2 linked regions of the Saccharomyces cerevisiae S288C genome follow. Changing the gene in region 1 together with any one later gene gives a genetic interaction. Each region holds a gene or a part of one and is shown on either strand. Other genes may lie near its edges. The genes, in order: YGR266W and PMP3.

Region 1 (8,744 bases):
GTGGATTGATCAATTCAAATGGATCTAACAGGGCACCACATTTGTCACATTGATCCCCACGAGCATCATCGTAGTGACATTTTGGACATTCACCTTCCACGTAACGATCAGCCAGATAAGAATTATGAACTGGACAGTACAATTGCTTCATAGATTGTTCTTCTAGATAACCATTCGAATTTAGCTTTGTAAAAATATGTTGAGCAATCTCCGTTTGCTTGTCCGTCGTAGTTCTACCGAAATAATCAAATCCAATTTGGAACCACTTGTAAACGTCACTGTGGATTTTGTGATATTTGTCACATAATTGTCTTGGTGTCACACCTTCCTCCAAAGCTTTAGTTTCCGTGGCAGTACCATATTCATCAGTACCACAAATAAACAAGGCATTATAATTACGTCCCTTACAGTAACGAGCAAAAATGTCTGCTGAAAGAACACTACCGATGATATTACCCAAGTGTGGAACGTTGTTGACATAAGGTAATGCCGAAGTGATCAAGATGTTTCTTTCGTTTGGCTTAGGCAAAATTTCTGAATCCTTTGGCTTAACTGTTAAGTCAGCTTGGATTTTCACTGCGCCGATGTTTTTGAAAGAAGAAGAATCACGTGGAACATGCTTTTTAGCCAATGCTACAGCGTTATGCACTTTGGATGGCAATTCTGGGAATTTAGAATGAACTAAAGAAGAATTTAGAGCATAAACGTTAGCAAACAGGATCAAATCTGTAGTAGTCAATGGTTCTTTTAATTCGACCAAGTAATTTTCAATGGCCTTATTTGTCAAAACCTCGACATGTTGTTGAGGTAATTCTTTATGATATAACAGGTTTTGTAAAGATGCCAATGCAAATTGATACTTGTCGGAAGTTTGACCTTCAAAATCATCCATGACATATCTTAGAATAGCGTTAGCATCAAACAAAAGGAAAGGTTCCTTTGTATTGCGCAATTCCATGGCAGCATTATCATTGTCAACTTCAGGCTTTAAATTTTTGCTTGCATATTCAAGTGCTAGGGCAATCTTCAAATTGTTCGCTAACTGCAAATGGGCAGGATGTTTCTTCGATTTATCAAAGGAAATGAGGAAAGACATGCTTGTTGTAAATTTCCGCTTTTTTTTCAAGTTTTATTCCTCCACAAAGATGCATATCAGGAAGCAAATCATCATTAACATTAGACATCGAAGAAAATTTGTCATCGTCTTTTTTTTTTTTTCGTTTTCTCTTTCGATAAGTTGCGTACAGAAATTTTTTCTGCCTCCGAAATCATTCGTGCCTCGTGATATTGAGAAGAAGTGACTATACTCGGGCAATGCATAAATGATCGTTTCGGCGGCTAACAAAGATAATCATAGCAAGTCGACAGATCGATAGGATACACCATTATCATCACGCTACGCGTTCTCGGGAAAGCTTTGACTAGAATATTTTTCAAAGTTGAATTATATTATGTTAATCTTTTGACTTCATGCCTTTTGAATTCCCCTCCATAGGTTCCCATTTTTGACTTCAACAATTCCTACTTCAAAATCCCTGGTTAAAGAAGCCTTTCCTCAGTTTGTACAACTATGTCCGCTGTAGCTAAAAAGTTAGCATAATTCATGTTTTATGCCTGAGACGTTTTAAACTAGTACTTAATCTCTATCAATAAACTTAACCCAGAAGGTCTCAAGATTAAACATGTTATTTTTTCGTCCTTTTATTGAAAAAAGTTGAAATAGCAGCGTCGGGTAATACCAGGAATATATTTTTATCGGCACGGCTACATAGCGAAGGGTCCATTAGTAAAAATGAAAAGAAATTCCACAAAGTTAGTGAGGGGAAAGTCCTACAGAAGGTCAAAACAGTTGCTACCGGGTTCAAAGTACTCAATTGAAAATAAACACTGCTACAAAAATGCATGCTACAAACTGGTTCGACGATTGGAACCCAGAAGCTCTTTATAGAGACGATGTCACTGGCTGCGATGACTGTTCCGAAACTTCGCCAATTCCAAAGTCTGGTATTATATGTGGACCGATATTAAGACTCATCAACATGGATTTTAAGGAAAAAACCTACGAGGGGTCTATTATGGTGGTAGTTAGAGGCGAGGAAAACTTTCCGAAAATTACCTATCAGCTAGGGCCCTCTTTGCCCTCTGAGGATGAAGACATCGAAGTTAACGAGGCATTCTTCGAAGGTAAACTTTTTCATAAGGACATTTTAAAAGATGATAATATATGGTTTTACAGGTATGAGATTAAGTTGCCCATGTCCAACTATGAGCAGATGGTAAAATATGCTGTTGACGGTACTATGGAACCACATTATAGGTTCTTCGTTCCCTCTTTCACTCAAAATTCGAACGTTATCTCCTATTCATGCAACGGATTTTCACTGAGCGTAGATACATCGAAATTCAAAGGTTCTCTATGGTATGATGTCCTTAAAAAGCATCGATACGTTCATTATCATGCCATTCTCGGCGGCGGAGATCAAATTTACTCCGATAATATTAAACTGCATGCGCCAAATCTTAAAGCTTGGCTGGAGACAAAGGACCCAATTAAGAAGTATAATACTCAGACCACTGAAGAAACAAAAGAGCAGATTAGGCAGTTTTATTTAGAACACTATTTAAACTGGTACGGTTACGGTCACTGGTATGGTTCTACCCCAAAATCCAAGACCACCCAAAAATGCTTTGTCAAGTCACTAGCTTGTATTCCTGCCATTAATGTCTGGGATGACCACGATATTATTGATGGCTATGGATCGTACAACGATTCCTTCATGAAGACTGAAAATTTCCTCACAGTGGGAAGAATGGCTTACCGATACTATATGCTTTTCCAGCAGCATGTCAGTGCTTCTAAACAAGATGGCGATGAGTATGCTTATCTCAAGAGCAAACAATGGATTCTAGGTAATGAAAAAGGGAGTTCTTATATCGGTGAAAGGTCTCACTCAATATTCTCTTGGTTGGGTCCGAAAATGGCCATGTTAGGGTTGGACTGTAGAACTGAGAGGAAATTACACGAGATTTTCTCAGAAAGAAGTTATTCCTTAATTTGGGAACGTGTCGAAAGGGAAATAAAAAATTTAAAAGGTGGCCACTTATTGCTGATGCTCGGTATCCCGATTGCATATCCAAGGTTAGTATGGTTAGAATGGCTTTTTACCTCAAAACTACTGGCTCCAATTAAATATTTATCTAAAAAAGGGATATTTGCTAGTGGCTTCGTTAACGAATTTAATGGAGATGTAGAACTGTTGGATGATTTAAATGATCATTGGTGCGCGAGACATCATAAAAAAGAAAGAAACTACTTGATAATGAAATTGCAAGACATAGGTGCTAAATATGGCGTCAGAATAACCATATTATCAGGCGATGTACATTTGGCATCTGTTGGGAGATTTAGGGCAAAAATTCATAGACACCATCTCATCATGTCTGAGGAGAAGGAAAAGGAAAACACCAGAATTATTGAAGAACCAACGAAAGACGTAAGGCTGATTTTTAATATCATTGCTAGCGCCATAGTAAATACCCCACCGCCAGATGCAATGGCCACGCTATTGCAAAAAAGATGTCGCTTGCATCATTTCGATTTGGAAACGGATGAAGATGCCGTACCAATTTTTGCCAAGGAAGTGGATGGAGTACATAAACGTAAAGAATCATGTTTCATGAACAAGAGAAACTGGTCAGATATTATACCTATAGAAAACCTGTTGAATAATCCCCAATTGAGTAAAGAATTAGGCGTAAAGGTTGGTGATATAGTCATTCCTGGTATCATCACAGAACAGCAAAAGCTACAGAAATTGGAAAACGATGACCAAATTAACTCTTATCCAGTAACTTCTGGTGGCTTGTTTACCACCATTCATGTTGAAAGAGATGCAAATCAAACAAACTCACAAACTGTGAGCTACTGTTTACCCATTCCAGAGTTAACAGTTACCTGCGAACGGTTGTCTCACAAGGGTATCAAACATCTGAATATCACATAGTTTAGTTTTGTGATAATTACAGATTTTTATTTAGCAGTTCAAACTTTTCTATTCATTACTAACGGACTGTCAAGTGCGATGCTGTACCGGAAGTAAATGTATATACTGATTGTTGAAAAAAAAAAAAGCTCAGTCGCGCGTGGCCTTTCTCTATGGAGATTTCTCAAACGATATTAATCCTGTATATCTCTATTAATTTAGTTAATACATACACGATATATCGTCGCTTTTATTTTTTTTTTTCAAATACTTCTTCTTCCTAAAAGAGTTAAAAACTCTTCTCTTGTTTTATGAGCCCTAAACCCTCCAAGCATACAAGAAGTTACCGTAGAAGATCCCGTTTTTTGAATGCCTCTTGAAACCATGCACATATGAGAAGCTTCCATAACAACGGCTACACCTAATGGTTTTAGAATATCACTTAGGGCCATTGCAATTTGCTTTGTAAGTCTTTCTTGAACTTGGAGCCTTCTCGCATACATTTCTGCCAATCTGGCCAACTTACTTAACCCGATGACTTTTTTATTTGGTATATACCCGATATGAACCTTGCCGAAAAATGGCACCAAATGATGTTCACATAACGAGTAAATTTCAATATCACGAACAATAACCATTTCATCATGATCTTCTTCAAAGACAGCATTCTTAATGACATCGTCCATAATGTTCGTTTGGTAACCTTTAGTGAAATAAAGCATGGCTTTAGCGTATCTTTGTGGAGTATCTAGTAGACCTTCTCTGTTGACATCTTCACCCAGTTCGGTCAAAATTGTCTTGATAGCGCCTGAAATGCGTTGAATTCGTTCCTTTTCCTCCTCTTCAGTTTCCTCTGCACGTTGTCTTGTACCCACACTTGGCCAAGAAAACCCATCTCTCTCGACAGGAGGGTTTAAAGTGTATGGAGAGGTAGGTCTAATGTTTAACGGGGTTTCATGTCTTTCTATCTCTTGCACTAATTGGATGTTATGCATTTTGGGATGATTGAAAGTATTGGTTCTAACAAAAAATGAGTCACGCACGCACAATCACGATTGAGGATGGAGTCGTATAATATTTTATGAACGGATGCTATATCGATCAGACGGTTGGCACCGTAAAAATAAATGAAAGAAGTTAAAGAAGGGCAAATCAGTCGGATTATGTGATAAGTATGTAATAGACATGTTTGAAAATTAGGAGCATTAAAATATGCTTTTCATCCTACAGTTGTTCGGTCTTTTTTCTTTTCGGTGAGCGACACAGCTTTTCTACTAAGGCCGTACCGGGTCATCCAAATCCTAAATTTTCATGCGCTAATAGCGTTGAGGCTGGGTGATAATTCTGCCTACACCATGACAAAGAGGACATATATCTTCGTCCAACAGGAATCTGGTGCGTCCGGACCCTCTGCATTCACCACATAGCACGCCACCCAGGCGAGGATCCCCTGGTTGAACGTACAAGGGCCTATTACCCTGCCATGCGTTGGTGTACACGGGCATTGTATAGTTTGTGTAATATGTCGGTGCAGAAACAACGTTATTTTGAGGTGCAAACCTCCTCCAACACGACTTGCAAGATCGTCCATTCTTCAACTTGTAACCCGTATTTCCACACTTGGAACAGTAAAACCTGGGAGGGTATGTCCAGGGCAAGCTAGGATTCTGTTGTGGCCTCGGTGGAGGCCGTGGTTGGGAACTTGTAGGCGTATAAGAGTGTGAGTGAGCATATGTTTGGGATGAGGACGTTGCTGGCATTGTCGAGGGCCTTTGGTGGGGTCTTGATTGGTGCCCTTGCGCCAAGTTAGCTGCTGGTCTTGGTGGTCGTGGCGGTTGAGATTGCAATCTCTCCTCTTCCTTGATTACGTCCTCGTAGCTCGGCAGTTCATCATCATGCGTGTCTTTAGACATAACAGTATGGTTTATACTCGTTTTATGGGTATTTTTTGGGACTGCTTAGTTCTTGACTTGAAGCCTCTTTATTCCCTTGATGGAAGTGTCACTATTAAAGATGGAGGCGGAGGCTATACCGTAGAAAATGATATGTTTGTATGTTCTGCTCTCTTCCCTCTATTAAAAGGGGGAAAGAGAAAAATAAATGGAAAAAAGCGATTAAGCCATAGGGAAAACACTCTTGTGGTGGCAAAGCATCAGATAGGCAGGCAGGAGGAAATGGCAGTGAAGTGTCAAACCAAGCATACTTTCACTGGATTGATTTGAAAGTTAATGCTGAGTTTGAGATGTTTTAAAGAGGAACTGTGGTGATCGGTTATTTCTATTCGCTTTTGTGTGCGTCTTTTCATCGTTTGCAGCTGAACTTGTTGAGGCATTAGCCGCTGAGGAATTTTTTTCTGCCTCTATAAACTTGTTTATTATCACTAAAAACGTACCGTCTGTTATTTTGTACGGCCATGTGTGCGAAAAAGGACAAAGTGGTAGCGAAAGAGCAATATTGGGACGAAAAGGAGCAGAAAAGGAACTGCGTAGGGTCTTAAATAAAGCAAAACGTCTGAAGGATCTTGCGTACTCCTTACTAACCCATTGTTGTTTTCGACAGTCATAAAAAGAAGTTACCACGGTCTATTTCTCTCTTCTCGCTATTTATTCACAATTGGTGCAGAAAGAACATGGCACGAAATTTAAGGAATAGACGCGGTAGCGACGTTGAAGATGCAAGCAACGCAAAGGTTGGGTATGAAACACAGATTAAAGACGAAAATGGCATAATCCATACAACAACTCGCTCTTTGAGAAAAATAAACTACGCAGAAATTGAGAAAGTGTTTGATTTTTTGGAAGATGACCAGGTCATGGACAAAGATGAGACGCCCGTTGATGTTACTAGTGATGAACATCATAACAACAACCAGAAAGGCGATGATGAAGACGATGATGTTGATCTTGTATCACCGCACGAAAACGCCAGAACGAACGAAGAGCTTACTAATGAAAGGAACTTGAGAAAAAGAAAAGCGCATGATCCAGAAGAAGATGACGAAAGTTTTCATGAGGAAGATGTCGACGATGATGAAGAGGAGGAAGAAGCAGACGAATTTGAAGATGAGTATTTGGATGAAGACTCGAAGGATAACAACCGTCGGCGCAGAGCGGCCGATAGGAAATTTGTAGTACCAGACCCTGATGACGATGAAGAATACGATGAGGATGACGAAGAAGGAGACAGAATAAGCCATTCGGCTTCTTCTAAACGTTTGAAAAGGGCAAATTCTCGAAGAACAAGATCGTCACGTCACCCAGAAACTCCACCACCGGTAAGAAGAGCTTTAAGAAGTAGGACAAGACATTCGCGTACTTCAAATGAAGAAAATGACGATGAGAATGATAATAGCAGGAATGAAGCGTTAACTTTAGCTGATGAAATTAGAGAGTTACAGGAAGATAGTCCTATCAGGGAAAAAAGATTTCTTCGCGAAAGAACTAAGCCGGTAAATTACAAATTACCACCACCACTAACTGCTAGCAACGCAGAAGAATTTATAGATAAGAATAACAATGCACTTTCTTTTCATAACCCATCACCTGCACGGCGTGGTCGCGGTGGTTGGAATGCTAGTCAAAATTCTGGTCCCACAAGAAGGCTTTTTCCCACTGGTGGACCTTTTGGTGGCAATGACGTAACTACAATATTTGGTAAGAATACTAATTTTTACAACCAAGTCCCATCTGCATTCAGTGATAATAACAACAATAAATTAATACTGGATTCAGACTCTTCCGATGATGAGATATTACCTCTTGGCGTGACACCGAAAACAAAGAAAGAGAACACGCAAAAAAAGAAGAAGAAAAAACCAGAAATTGCAGACCTCGATCCATTAGGCGTAGACATGAATGTAAATTTTGACGATATAGGTGGTTTAGACAACTACATTGACCAATTAAAGGAAATGGTGGCCTTACCACTATTATACCCAGAATTGTATCAAAATTTTAATATCACGCCCCCAAGGGGTGTTCTTTTCCATGGTCCTCCTGGTACGGGTAAAACACTTATGGCAAGAGCGTTAGCAGCAAGTTGTTCTTCTGATGAAAGGAAGATCACATTTTTTATGCGTAAAGGTGCAGATATTTTATCCAAGTGGGTTGGTGAAGCTGAAAGACAACTCCGTTTGTTATTCGAAGAAGCTAAAAAACATCAACCTTCCATCATTTTTTTTGATGAAATCGACGGATTAGCGCCTGTGAGAAGTTCCAAACAAGAACAGATCCATGCTAGTATTGTTTCCACATTATTAGCGCTGATGGATGGTATGGACAATAGAGGCCAAGTCATTGTCATCGGAGCCACAAATCGACCCGATGCAGTGGATCCCGCATTAAGAAGGCCGGGAAGATTTGATAGAGAATTTTATTTTCCATTACCTGATGTTAAAGCACGTTTTAAAATTTTGCAAATTCAGACCAGGAAATGGAGTTCACCGTTGTCAACCAACTTCATTGATAAATTGGCTTTTTTGACCAAAGGATATGGTGGTGCTGATCTGAGGTCCCTATGCACTGAGGCTGCACTAATAAGTATACAAAGAAGCTTTCCTCAAATTTATAGGTCAAATGATAAACTCTTGGTGGACCCTTCTAAGATTAAAGTCAAAGTTAGCGATTTCATGTTAGCTTTGAAAAAAATTGTTCCGTCATCTGCGAGATCTACTGGTAGTTCTCCTCAGCCACTACCTGAATTAATCAAACCATTACTGGCAGATCAACTTAATAATTTAAAGAACAAGCTGGATTATATGCT
Region 2 (6,829 bases), on another chromosome or scaffold:
CGACAGAATAAGATTAAATTTGTACTCGATTTGTTTCTGCTGTTGTACCAGAATCATTAACCAGATCTGACTTTAATTCTCATCGCGCTCGTGCTTTTGACAAACTTGTGAGAATGGAGTCTGTAGTGCCTTAAAAGGAAAAAAACGCGTTGTGGTTATGAATATGAGATTTCATAATCCAACTATGGCATCGACAACATTGAAAAGATAATGAGCTGGAAGTTGCTCCATTTTTTACCTTTTGAAATTTCTTCTTATATGTATATGCTCACTTTACTGACTAGTAAAATGTCGTGAAAATTTTTAGAGTTCCATTTTGGCTCAAGACAATGGCGCTACGAAGAAACGCCATACTTAAATTCCCCTCATGAACTTAGAAATTCACGAAAGAAGCTGAATCTTTACAGAATAAATTTGTAGAAGAATTTTTCTGTTCTTTTATGCTTTATTCGTTGCTGCTGTTGATAATCAGCGATAGCTGAATTTATTGAATAGAGAGGCCGGGAAACTTCGTGCTACTGTAGAACTGAGATATAGAATACATCACAACTGGATGTATTAGACAAGTTTAATTTACTAGGAAAAAAAAGCTCAGAAACTTACAATTCTAATTAATGACTAGAATTTCATATATGAATCCTAATTCAACGTGAAATTGGTGGACTTTTCAACTTGTCACACTCAAGTAGCTCATTGTTTCTTTCTCTGCTCTTAAAAATGACAATGCCACGCAAACATACGTGTGTTAAATAATGATATCAGCGCCAGATGTCACTGAATGTCAATACTTTAGTTATATCTGCAACGGTATGAGAAATAGGCGAATTTTAAGAGAACTGTTCGTATTCTATCGTTGCTAAAGGCTACAGTATCTGGTATACAAGATATATTAGAAGTTTTTCTCGAGAATTTAAGAATCCACAAAACCAAATTTGTTGGAGCGAATCGTAATTAACAGTGTTGATAGTTAGTAGTTAGGTTGTAGTATTGATTAAGAATAAAAGCAGATATTCTTATTCTAAAAGAAAGAGATATAAAATACACTCCGACTGGACATATTAAACCTTGCCGATATAGCAATGATGAGAGTAATTCTTATGGTTAATGTCACGAGATGAATTGTTATATTGCAAGCATCAGATTAATCATTCAGGTAATAGATCATTGAGTTTACTGTACCCAGATTATTATGTAGCTACGTATCATTCTCCAGTCTGAAACATTAAAGACGCATTGCACATCTGATTACTTCATTTGATTACTAATCGACTATTCATGAAGAATAATAAGTCAATATTCTCACGAATAGTAACTTGAGTTACTATAGTAACAATTTAAGTGTCTCTACTGTATATTAATGCAAACCCTACATACTTTTAAGTCCCTGTTGGACAGGGAAATGTTAAACGAGGAACTCAAACAGTATAATAGCTGAGTTAAAGATCCATTAATTGGAAATACTGCTATAGTCGAATGTACGAATAATAGTAGTCGCCAATTTAAATGTATAGTAACTGCTAGACCCACTATTATGTTCATGTTTAATAAGAACAACTGGCCTGTATTTTCTATATTCCTCTTATATAGCATGAGGAGATTTGCTTTTATTCCAAACTAATACTACATCCTGACCACTGATTATTAATAACACCAGTTTTCATATTACTAATACATTATCATACATGATGCAAAAATACTTTATAAACGGCGAAAAACATTTATCAAATTTAACAGAATCTGAAAATGCAGAGACTGATAATTAATAAAATAAAAACGGTGATTTTTTAAATGAAAGAGGGAATAATGATATCATTATGTGGAATGATCTGCTCCTTTTTGTATTTCCAACAATTTCAGTAAAGTCGTATCTTTCCTACCTAATAATATTGCCATAACAAATAATTTAGCCCCTAAATAGTCATAAGAGAACTCATTGAGAGTCAAAGAAAATCATATTCCCTAACAGAACCTTGATTTGCGACCGAATAATTGGCTTTCTTCATTACATAATGAACGTTTCTTTTAGGTCAAACTATCACCAAGGTACAATCCGATGTAGTGTAACGGCTATCACATCACGTTCTCACCGTGGAGACCGGGGTTCGACTCCCCGCTTCGGAGTTTCTTTTTTATTTTCTAGAAAAATTCACATGCTGATTCATTTACCGTTACTGTTTCACTGTGATGCTACTAGTCATATTCTTCTTATATCAATTTTTTTTCTATTGCTGTTTGCATTACCGCAACATACGATGGGAATAAACAGCACAAGCTGTTGTGTACATTTTTCCTCATCATATAACTACAATGTACATAAGTTAGCTTGAAAAAATTCTAGGTCTCATATTAATGCTTGAAATATGGAAGTATGTCGAATGTTTTATAAATAAGTCGAGAAAAATGGTTATGCTACCAGCTAACTTATATATATATAAGACTCTTTCATTCTTTTCTTTGTCTCTCAAACTTATATTTGTTTACGTTTTGGAGGAAAACTAATTATTTTTTTAATAAAGTAAACATAGCATTTCCAAGGTGCAAACCGATCCCTACCACCAAAATAAGCATACAAGACCGTTACAGCGTTAAGACAAAACTATGCTTCTAGGGGGGGGGGACAAAGCAAGGAAGATTAAAATGAATTCTTCAACTTAGGGGTACTTTAAGAGAAAGAATTCAATACTTGCGTTAGCTGACCACCCCATAGTTCGTTTAGATAAGGATATGGTGTGAAATTCATAGTTGAAGACTCTTGAGGAGGTAGGGAACATCTCTCTTCGCCCACCAAACCCAGTTTTCTCTAATACTCCATATCCAAAAAAGTGTAGCTCTATGTACATTGCCAAGGTTTTCTACTGATCAATATTTGATGGAAAAATATGACATAAGGTATGCGTATTAGTAAACTATTAGGGAGCCGCCGGTACTAATAACATCAAGGCCATCTCACGCCGAGACTTACTTGGACTTTTCTCTATTGTAAAGCGGAAAAAAAGTTATCACCCCGCCCCCTCCTCCGCTCCTCCACTAAAACGATCAGCAAATGGCAGAATAACGCGGTACTAACCAGTTTTTCCGTTCCTTGAAACCCAGTCATACTATGAAGTCCCTAAAATTATTCCGAAATTATTCCCTAGAACAAGCGGGAAAAAGGTCCGGGGAAATGGAGTCCGTGCGAGTTTTGTTAGGATGACTGCCCCACACATTTCCTCATCTTATAATTTTGTGGAAAAATTCATCGTGAGAGAAAATACGAGTCCATTTCTCCAGTGAAACTACCGTAGACATGGAATATCTGCCATTCTACCCCTTATTCAAGTGCCTTTTTTTTTTTTTTTCATCCCACATTTTATTGCTGCCTCAATCTCCATTAAGAAAAAAAATTTATATAACCAAATGACATTTTTCCTTTCTTCTCAAACTTTGTAATGCGCCTGTAACTGCTTCTTTTTTTATTAAAAAACAGCATGGAGTTTTTTAATAACTTAAGGAAACATACAAAAAGATTTGTTCATTTCACTCCAAGTATTTTTTAACGTATATTGAAAGTTCTCAATAGCGAAACCACAAGCAGCAATACAAAGAGAATTTTATTCGAACGCATAGAGTACACACACTCAAAGGAATGTTTGTTTCACCACCACCAGCAACTTCGAAAAACCAAGTTTTACAACGACGTCCATTAGAATCGACTAACAGTAATCATGGGTTTGCAAGCTCCCTACAGGCCATTCCGGAAAACACGATGAGTGGCAGTGATAATGCTTCTTTTCAAAGTTTGCCACTATCAATGAGTAGCTCTCAATCCACGACTTCTTCGAGAAGAGAGAACTTTGTGAATGCTCCTCCGGAGTACACTGATAGAGCTAGAGATGAGATTAAAAAAAGATTATTGGCCTCCTCACCTAGCAGAAGGTCACATCATTCAAGCAGTATGCATTCAGCGAGCAGGAGATCAAGCGTGGCTGAAAGTGGGAGTTTACTTTCGGATAATGCCTCGTCTTATCAATCAAGTATATTTTCTGCCCCCTCTACTGTGCACACGCAACTAACTAATGACTCTTCGTTCTCCGAATTTCCTAACCACAAGTTAATCACGAGAGTGAGCCTGGATGAAGCATTACCCAAAACGTTTTATGACATGTATTCGCCAGATATTCTATTAGCAGACCCATCCAACATTCTCTGTAACGGGCGTCCCAAGTTTACCAAGAGAGAGTTATTGGATTGGGATTTAAACGATATAAGATCGTTATTGATAGTCGAGAAGTTAAGGCCCGAATGGGGTAATCAACTACCGGAAGTAATAACGGTGGGTGATAATATGCCCCAGTTTAGGTTACAATTATTACCACTATATTCTAGCGATGAGACCATAATCGCAACGTTAGTCCATTCGGATCTGTACATGGAGGCTAACTTAGATTATGAATTCAAACTAACCAGCGCCAAATATACAGTAGCGACCGCTAGAAAAAGACATGAGCATATAACTGGTAGAAATGAAGCCGTCATGAATTTGTCGAAACCGGAATGGAGAAATATCATCGAAAATTACCTCTTAAATATAGCAGTAGAGGCACAATGCAGGTTTGATTTCAAACAAAGATGCTCCGAATATAAGAAATGGAAGTTACAACAGTCCAACTTAAAAAGACCGGACATGCCCCCACCAAGCATAATACCGCGGAAAAACAGCACAGAAACAAAATCGCTTCTGAAAAAGGCTTTATTGAAGAACATTCAGTTGAAAAACCCCAATAATAACCTTGATGAATTGATGATGAGATCAAGCGCCGCAACAAATCAACAGGGAAAAAACAAAGTCAGCTTATCTAAAGAAGAAAAGGCTACGATATGGTCGCAATGTCAGGCACAAGTTTACCAAAGATTAGGATTGGATTGGCAGCCGGATTCAGTATCCTGAAGATACTAAAAAGAAACCTTCCCGATGGTTTTTTTGGAGACTCTTCGATTGTATCAATACTATCCCATGGACATCAGTTTTAATAGAGGAGCTCCAAATTCCCAAGGAATTGAGGAAGAAGCGCCAATGATTTATATATACAAACTAGCTGTTGCAGCTTTATAGAGATTTAGTAATAAGAATTTTATGGGAACGTGGTACCGTTATCGCAGTAAAGAGTCAAGGGTAGCGAAGATCAAACCATACGATGACGAAATACCTTTAGTTCTTAGCATCACCAATCGCAGACATCCAACGTATCCGTGCGCGTAATCCTTCTCTTGGTAGTTGAGCACAGCATACAGAAGAAGCCGCGCGCAAGCGGTAAATGTCTTTCCTCCGGCCTTCTAACCACCAAAACCGATCTCGGAACATGGGGGGGGGAAGGTCCTCTGAATCGAAAAACCCGAGACAGCGAGAGGGATTTTGCAGAAAATTACAAAGATCACTATTTACTGCTCCCCTCACTTCCGCAGTCCCCTAATAGCGGAAGATGCAATGGGTGTGGGCTCTGGGTGCCCTTTAACCACGCCCTCAAAAGGGGGTCCTGGTTATTTTGCGATGGGCGCCTCTATAAATACAAAAGAGGAAGTGAGTGTTTTTGTTTTGGAAGAGGGAAAGGAAAAAAAGAAGAAAATTTACTATCGGTTGTTGTTTTTCGCCAGTATAATACAATTGATTATACATTTTGAACTAAACAGCACAGCACAATACAACAATGGATTCTGCCAAGATCATTAACATTATATTATCCCTTTTCTTACCACCAGTCGCCGTTTTTCTAGCCCGTGGGTGGGGTACTGACTGTATAGTGGATATCATTTTGACCATTTTGGCTTGGTTCCCAGGTATGCTATATGCCTTGTACATTGTCCTACAAGATTAAGCTCATTCAATAAACGAAAGTAACTATCAAATGAAATAAGGAAGCAGTATTAGGAAACGGTATCAACATGTTCGGGTCACCCTCATTTTTATTTGTTTCCTTTCTTTTTTTTTGTTTCTCTTTCTCTTAAGGTTTCCTCCCCCGCTGTTAATTTTAACTACGTGTGTATTTTTTAATAATTAATTTTATCACAAAAAAAACTTCTCATCTTTTTTGCCTTTTATCATTTTTGTACTTTTTTCTTCGCTTAAAATACACATGATATAGACGCTTAACTATCTGTCCTGCAAGTTTGTTTATCTATATAAATATAGCCAGTATCATCCGTTTACCTGTGTTGTAGAGTTCCAAAAGATAGAACAGCCTTTTATCAGATGGGTGGCAGACCCTTACCCATATTATCTCTCTTATTTTGTTTTTATTTCTCTCTAGCCTTATAATTATTTTTAGTTTCCTTTCTGTAGCAATAAGTGTTCTTAGCAGTGGCGTTGCGTTGCCTTGACCTTGATTATCAATTTAAGCAGCTTTCTGCTCACAAGCCACTTCAAAACGACTCGTGAATGATTTTTCGATCAATGATATCTTATCATAATTCGGATTTGATAGGAAATCATCATCCTCTTCCTCGTAGTAGGCGTCTTCCCTCCTTTCATTAACAAGTTTATTCTGCTTCACAAATGTAACTGTACTAGTTGAATTCAAACGCCTACTTTTGTTAACACTACCTGAACTAATATCATATTCCAGACCAGCTGTAGTATGATTGATCAATGATTCTGAGGATTCATTTAGCATATTAATTATCTCCTCATCAATAACTATTTCCTCCTTTCCGCTTATGGGACCACTGGTCTTTTCTTTTCCATCTGCCACCGGTAATGATGATCTATTGTAGTGGAATAACTTGCAACCGTAATCAAGCAACCTGCACATGTAGAGGAATAGATCGATCGCGTCCAGTATGATAATAGGCAACA

What was found.
Region 2: mutations in YGR266W (region 1) and PMP3 together harm fitness more than expected from each alone (negative genetic interaction), as found in Saccharomyces cerevisiae (2 studies listed by BioGRID).

The regions. Positions count from the first base shown.
Region 1 is NC_001139.9:1,020,758-1,029,501, forward strand, and holds YGR266W (uncharacterized protein), read left to right. Parts: upstream 1-1,898; coding exon 1,899-4,004; downstream 4,005-8,744. Other genes in the region: methionine--tRNA ligase MES1, read right to left, coding at 1-1,096; FOL2 (GTP cyclohydrolase I), read right to left, coding at 4,247-4,978; HUA1 (Hua1p), read right to left, coding at 5,300-5,896; chromatin segregase YTA7, read left to right, coding at 6,613-8,744.
Region 2 is NC_001136.10:1,012,499-1,019,327, reverse strand, and holds PMP3 (Pmp3p), read left to right. Parts: upstream 1-5,684; coding exon 5,685-5,852; downstream 5,853-6,829. Other genes in the region: MTH1 (Mth1p), read left to right, coding at 3,626-4,927; triglyceride-associated lipolysis regulator TLD1, read right to left, coding at 6,369-6,829. UniProt on the Saccharomyces cerevisiae protein: Plays a role in the regulation of membrane potential. Could mediate a proton leak.